Caenorhabditis elegans: one gene and its partner. The protein of the gene in region 2 interacts with the protein of the main gene of each other region in a pairwise test. Each region holds a gene or a part of one and is shown on either strand. Other genes may lie near its edges.

Region 1 (3,754 bases), on a different chromosome or scaffold from region 2:
ATGCCCGTAAGCTTTCTAATAATAATAATGGGAAAAAGGAATAAAAATATTTAATAATATGCAGGAAACACCACATCTCATCGATTCGCTCACTTCTCAAATCGACGAATTCACAATTCAAAGCATAATTGATACTCAGAGACAGAGGTAATATACTGGAGAATTTAGAATTTATTGATTTTTCTTTTTTTTTCAGCTTGAAACGCTTCGAAAAGACAAATGAAATGCTCATGAATTGCGCTCAACTCGGCGATCGAAGAATTGAAAAAGCAAAAAGGGATTCTGTGGGACACAAAGAGACAATTCTGCAGATGAAAACTGATTTGGAATTTATTTTCAAAAAAATTCGCATGTTCAAAACAGTTTTGTCGTCAAAGTATCCAGAAGTTTATGCTGAAGGTGCAGATATTTTAATTTGAATACTTTTAAAAAGTTCATCAAATTTCAGTGTCAGCCGAGCTAACGCCAAAACGAAGCGAGGAAGACGAATGAAATACAATTTATTCGTAATTGAAAAACAAGAAGAAAAAAAATAACAGATCATTTGGAACAAATACAAGTCACAGAAATTCAATAAAGATCTCAAATTTTTGATTAAAGTGAAGTCGAAATAAGTTATAAAATTTTTTGTTTTTAATTTAATTAGTAACTTCACTATGGGGACTTTTTGACACAAGAGAAACAATAGAAATTTGAATAGAGAAAATATTAATGTGGAGGTGGTTACTGTCGGAATAAAAATTTAGAGTTAAAATATCAATATTACACGATTATGATCTACGGTGACGTTTCGAGTCACGACAGTCATCATCAGAATCGGAAGAAGCTGATCTATCATCTGAGGAAGAATGACGGCGTTTTCTTTTTTCCTTTTTACTTTCCTTGCTCTTCTTCCTTTTTCTATCCTCTTCCTCATCAGAATCACTACTATCATCAGAATCATCTCGTCGCCTTCTCTTCTCTTTCCGTTCCTTCTTTCTCTCCTTTTTCTCGAGTTTCTTCGCCTTCTTCTTTTCTTTTTTCGCCTTCTTTTTCAGCTTTTTCTCCTTTTTCCGCTGCTTTTCCAAAGCAATGAGCGGAGTCTCGTCGTCACTTGATTCAGATGATGTCGAACTGACCTCGTACGCTTTTGTCGATACATTTGGACGTACTTCAATGTGATTTCGACACTGGAAGTATAGATGACCCGGATATCCACATCTTTTGCATGCTCCCGTGACTGCGGGGGCAGATATTGCGGCACCTGATATATCTGAAATTAAACAAATTATGTGATTTTAATTTCCTATGAACTACCGTACCTACAAAGGCGTTCGGGTCGTATCTTGATGGGAACGCTGACTGTGCTAGGGAAGCAAGTGAAGGTTTTTTACCTGAAAGTAGATTTTGAGTTTTTTTTTTGAAAAATTTATAAATACTTTTTTTCCAAAAAACCAAGTTTCTTTTTTGGAGTCGTTTTCAAAAAAGTTTTTTTTCGCTTTTTTCGTCCCCTAAATTGTTTTTTGTTCGGAAACATTTTTTTTGCGAATAAATCCATAGTAATTTAATTTTTGAAAATTTAAGATTACTTACCTGACTCATCATCTTTTGATAATGGGCTATCTGTGTCAGTTGTGGTAGTTACAGTTGTACTGGTAGATCCGAATTTTCGCACAAACGGCATCGGAGTCAGGTTAGCGTTCGCCATCTGTAATTGTAGTGAATATTAGGGAGTACTAAAAATAAGCAAAAAATAACGTGAAGAGGTGGTAAAAGACGCTGGTTTTATGCGCGTTTTAGAGGGGAAGAACTGTTCTCAAGGGAAGATGGGTTTTATAGAAAAATTATCGATTTTTCGGCGCTTTTTAATCAGAGAACATAGAAGAATTGGAAAACATGCTGAAAAGATTTAAAAATAAGATTTTTTTCAACAAAAAAAAAGAGAACTATCAAGAAAAGTGAAAAGCAGCAATGGAAGAAGTGAGAAAGAAATATGAAAAGTTTCGAAATTAATACGATTTTTTCCACTAGAGCACATTAGCACGGTGTTGTTTGAAATTTTGAATAAAATATTTTTAATTAGAAAAAAGGTATTATCTGATGCAAATTTATGCAAACTTCTCGAAAATGTTCGAAAAGCACTCCTGGTTTATAACCCTGCAAGTTTTCAAATTTCTGGATTATTAAATCGTCAATAATATCTCATATTTTGTGTATTTTCGTCGAGTTTTTTCGAGGATAATCTATTAATTTACTACTCAAAACCACAGAAAACGAGAATTCGTAGATTTACAACAGTAAATAATGCGAATTTTATTTGGAATACTATAAAAATATTGAACAAATTAGCGATTTCAAAATTAACTGACAAAAGAATTCGCGAAAATCGTTTCACAAAGAACTATATATTTTTTTGAAAAACAAAAATTCACTGTTTTCCTCGGGGAGTACACGAGCTCCGTAAATCGACACGCTTCCAATTCACTCTTTCCTTTCATTCATTATATTGTGTTCCAATAAATTAATTTGACGAATGATGATCGAAGTTAGCTTGACAAATGACTCCAAGAGCTCCACCCCCATCTGTTATATGTCCGCAAATCAATACAAAACCTCTCCCACCGCTTTCTCTTTTCTTTCTCCCGCGCTGGGTCTGGGCACAAGATGCTCTCGACAAACTCTTCTCAAGCACACTGCCCGGCTTCTCGCTCATGATACGTTCTCTCGTCGCGTCGTTTCGAAATTCACTTTACTTTCTCCACGATTAGTGGGTCGTTACAGAGCACGCCATCTTTTTCCAAAAGTAAATCTGTCCAAAATGCAGGTGAGTCCTATTATATTTGAAGAAATAATCTAGTTTTCTCTTATTTATGAGTTATAAATAAATCTTTAATATTCATTATAAAAAAATACGATCTATTTTCCTCGCGGTGAGACCTATATGAATGAATTCGTGTACCTTCAAGTGAGAAGTTTAGGAGATTAAAAATTGCGATATATTACGCAACCGCCAGAAATTATACGAACTGTGCAGCATATTTGGCACAATGAATATCTCGTTGCGACGTCTACAGTAACTTTGTAAATACTACCGTAACCACAGTGTTAATTTTGTTGGTTATATAATATTTGAAAATTACCTTCTCAAAAAAGAGGCATTGTTCAACTAGGAAAAAAAGTTTCCGATTTTCAGATCGAGAAACCATACGACTATGCTGCTCTTATGATCCGTGTCTCCGCCGGATTTGTTATTTTCATATCGTTATCATTGATACTTTTGGTAGTTGGAAATCTCATCTACACAAGTTTTACAGAACGAGTCAATTTGAATTCCAAAGTGAGAAATTTCATTTTCCCAAAAAACCTAACTAGTTTTAATTTTCAGAGATCCCGATAATCTCAATACTTATGCCAACCAAAAAAAAACCGCACTCTTTCCATAATCTTGCCACGTCATTAAATCGTTCCCAATTGTGTTACCTATAACTTATTGATTTGTGGTGAATAAAAAACAAGTATCTCTCTGATAAAACAACCGATCCAATGCGCAGATAAAAAGGTGAAGGTCTCTCATCTGCGTCTCTCAGGCTTCGGACTGCGCGGCAACAAAACCTGAAGAGGAGATGTGGCGGTAGCCACCGAGAACGGAATAAACTAGATGAGTGGAAGGAGACACTTGCAAGACGGTCGTTGCTTCCTTCTTTTCCTTCCACGTGTAGTGCTTTTGAATTCAAAAGTTTTGATTTTTCTTTTCTTGTAACTTATTCCGCCTATT
Region 2 (3,754 bases):
AACATTTTTTTAATTTTCCAGAAGGTTCTAGAACAATCCAGAATTTTTTCGAATTTTCCAGAAGGTTCTGGAACATTCCAGAATTTTCTAGAATTTTCCAGAACCTTCTGGATAATTTCAGAATTTTCCCGAAGTTTCCAATTTCCCTTCCAAAGACGGGAAGTCAATTTTTCATAAACTACCGTAATCCTACCGTACTCCTACAGTACTCCTACAGTACTACTACAGTACCCCGACCATATTCCACTACTAACCGCAAACCTATATCTCTTCAAAAGACAAAAACACAATTTTTCATAAACTACAGTAATCCTACCGTACTCCTACAGTACTCCTACAGTACTACTGCAGTACCCCGACCATATCCCACTACTAACCCCCAAACCTATATCTCTTCAAAAGACAAAAGCTCAATTTTTCCTAAACTACAGTAATCCTACAGTACTCCTACAGTACCTCTACAGTACTACTACAGTACCCCGACCATATCCCACCACTAACCCCAAACCTATATCTCTTCAAAAGACAAAAACTCAATTTTTCCTAAACTACAGTAATCCTACAGTACTCCTAAAGTACCTCTACAGTACTACTACAGTACCCCGACCATATCCCACCACTAACCCCAAACCTATATCTCTTCAAAAGACAAAAACTCAATTTTTCCTAAACTACAGTAATCCTACAGTACTCCTACAGTACCTCTACAGTACTACTACAGTACCCCGCCCATATCCCCCTACTAACCCCAAACTAATATCCCTCCAACAGCCGATAACGCCTTGCCTTTGTAAGCTATGACGTCACTTGTTAACAAACGGACACTATTTTTTTATATATAGGTAATGATTATTTATTTTTCTACCCTGAAATTTTATATTTCCCTTCTCGGGTACTTAATTTTCCGAAATTCCAGTAAATCTTTTAGGCTCCAACCCCTACTACAGCTCTCCGAAACCCGGAAAGGGGCGGGGCTTAACTAATTTTTTTCCAGAACAATAAATTACTGGCCTGCTTATCATGTGGTTAAAAATGTCCCAAGCCCCTTTTTTTGGGGTCTCACAGCGAAGAGAGTAAGTGCGCTTCATAGACATGGTGCATCATGACAAACACCGTCACGCCAAATTGCAGACAACATAATTTTGGGATTTAAATTTTAGGATTTTTAGAAATTTTTAGAAACTTGCACCAAAAAATAAAGTATGGTTTGCCATATATCACAGATTTTTCGAGCTAATTAATTCAATAAATTTTCTATAATGACGTCATCTTTTTTTAAAAAAACCTCTTCCACCGTGACCCACTGAACCCTGTAACATCTGTTATGGGGTCCAGCCGATGCATATAAAGATGTCTAATTCTCTCTCAACACGCCTCGTCGAACCGCGACGCGTCACATCAGCGTTTCCCGCGCGTTTGAAATTTTACGCGTCCACCCGTCTTTTTGTTTGGTTGCTCCTGACAACGGATGAATCTCAAAATAAATTGAGTTTCTGATGTTTTTATTTGAAGTAACCAATTTTTACTTCAAAATTAGATTTTCAACCAATTTCTGAATTTAGTCCAATTTTCGCTTGTATTTCACTGACTATCCCCTAAAATTAATAAATTTTCAGTTGCCTTAATGGATTTCCATATTTGTTTAGTCCTAGCCCCTAACTTTCGTCGTAATTTATCAGTAATATAGGTCAATTCACTCCGAGCTTCAGATTTTGGACAAAATTGTGAAGCTTCAGCCCTTTTTGTCCTAGAAAGTTCGAACCTTGTCGGTTTTAAGACCCTTTTTCGAGAAACTAGTTTAAAAATTACTGGAAATTCCCAAATAGTCGATTCTCTAGCTTGGCACAACATTTTCTTGTCAGACCCCCCATTAAAATCGATTTCTAGTCTCAGCTAATCTCCTTCGCTCACCATGCTCAAAATTGACCTAACTTCCCGAATTTATCCCTAATGAGAGACAATATCGACTCAGTCACCGCAACATCTGTTATTGACCCCACACCTGCGTTACTCCTTCCTTTGTCTCTTATATGTTCTCCAATTCCTAATAATTTTAGTTTTAGGAATAAAAAATCAACCATGGCCAGAAAATCCAAAGGAAGCCGCTCATCCACTCGAGCTGTGTCAGTTTTTTTAAATTTGAAATTTCTCCTGTAACCTCCAATTTTCAGAAAGCAAACCGATCATTTCCAAGTTGATGTGAAACTCCAAAGTCGTCCCGATCATGTCAGAGCTCCAAGGGCGAACAATGAGAATGTCAACTATACCCCAGTGAAAGAGGCAAAGATTCAGAAGATTTTGGACCATCAGCTGTATAATACTCACTATGTCGAGTATCAGGTGGAAATGAGCGATGGAACGGAAGAAATGTTGACTGAATTTGATTTTGATGTAAGTTGTTTTTTTTTTAATACGGTGGTAATTAACATTTTTCTTGAAATTTCAGAACAAAAAGACTCAAAAGATGCTCGCAGAGTACAAGTTCAAGGTTACAGAGCTGGAGGATGATGGAAGTAAAGGTAAGAAGCTTGGAAAAGTAGTTGAAAACTTTGAATACAAAAAAATTTACAGAATACGTTGTGGAGAAGATCGTCGCCCATCGTTACCCAAACGATAGGCTGAATCAGCCTTTGTACCTCGTCATGTGGCGCGGGTTCCCCGATCCGGTATCTAACACGGAAATGTGGGGAGAAGAGCTTGAGGTTAGTGATCACAGAGTCTAGTTATCATCGTTTATCTTAATACTTTCAGAACTGTCAAGAGCTTCTCGATGCCTATAATGAAGAGCATGATATTGATCTTTCAAAGACAGTAATGAACAAGCCTCCGAAGAAATCAAAGCACCAAGATACTTCTGACGATTCTGAGGAGTCTGAAGATGAGGAAGAAAAGTCACCCAGGAAAAGATCCTCCAAGAAACGTCGAGCTGCTTCTGTTTCTGATTCCGATTCTGACTCCGACTCCGATTTTGACAAGAAGAAGTGGAAAAAAAATAAGGCCAAGCGATCCAAGCGTGATGACTCTTCTGATGATGACTCCGAAATGGAGAGACGCAGAAAGAAGTCGAAGAAGTCGAAGAAATCTAAGAAGTTCAAGAAATCTGAGAAGAGAAAGCGTGCAGTGAACGATTCTTCATCTGATGATGAAGATGAGGAGGAGAAGCCTGAGAAACGCTCCAAAAAGAGCAAGAAAGCTGTCATAGATTCATCTTCGGAGGATGAAGAAGAGGAAAAGTCCTCCAAAAAGCGTTCCAAAAAGAGCAAGAAAGAGTCCGATGAAGAACAACAAGCTTCTGACAGTGAGGAGGAAGTAGTCGAGGTGAAGAAAAATAGCAAGTCGCCAAAGAAGACTCCTAAGAAGACCGCTGTCAAGGAGGAATCCGAAGAATCTTCTGGCGACGAGGAAGAGGAGGTTGTGAAGAAGAAGAAGTCCTCCAAGATAAACAAGCGAAAAGCAAAGGAGTCCTCGTCTGACGAGGAGGAAGAGGTTGAAGAATCGCCGAAAAAGAAAACAAAGTCCCCAAGGAAGTCTTCCAAAAAATCGGCTGCTAAGGAAGAATCGGAAGAAGAGTCCTCTGACAATGAAGAGGAGGAGGAGGTTGATTATTCCCCGAAAAAGAAGGTCAAGTCTCCAAAAAAGTCCTCCAAGAAGCCAGCCGCGAAGGTGGAATCGGAAGAACCTTCTGACAATGAGGAGGAGGAGGAGGAGGTTGAAGAATCTCCCATAAAGAAGGACAAGACTCCGAGGAAGTATT

What was found. Proteins that work in one complex are often made in the same cells at the same time.
Region 1: the proteins of cec-8 (region 2) and C13F10.7 interact in a two-hybrid assay, tested with the Caenorhabditis elegans proteins (one large-scale study listed by BioGRID).

What each region holds. Positions count from the first base shown.
Region 1 is NC_003283.11:7,221,566-7,225,319, forward strand, and holds C13F10.7 (CCHC-type domain-containing protein), read right to left. Parts: upstream 1,688-3,754; coding exon 1,573-1,687; intron 1,374-1,572; coding exon 1,302-1,373; intron 1,253-1,301; coding exon 771-1,252; 3' UTR 493-770; downstream 1-492. Other genes in the region: kxd-1 (KxDL domain-containing protein), read left to right, coding at 1-6, 65-147, 197-399, 449-492; C13F10.1 (50S ribosomal protein L6), read left to right, coding at 2,513-2,803, 3,173-3,316, 3,365-3,376.
Region 2 is NC_003281.10:427,275-431,028, forward strand, and holds the start of cec-8 (Chromo domain-containing protein), read left to right. Parts: upstream 1-2,063; 5' UTR 2,064-2,079; coding exon 2,080-2,123; intron 2,124-2,171; coding exon 2,172-2,391; intron 2,392-2,446; coding exon 2,447-2,519; intron 2,520-2,571; coding exon 2,572-2,702; intron 2,703-2,751; coding exon 2,752-3,754.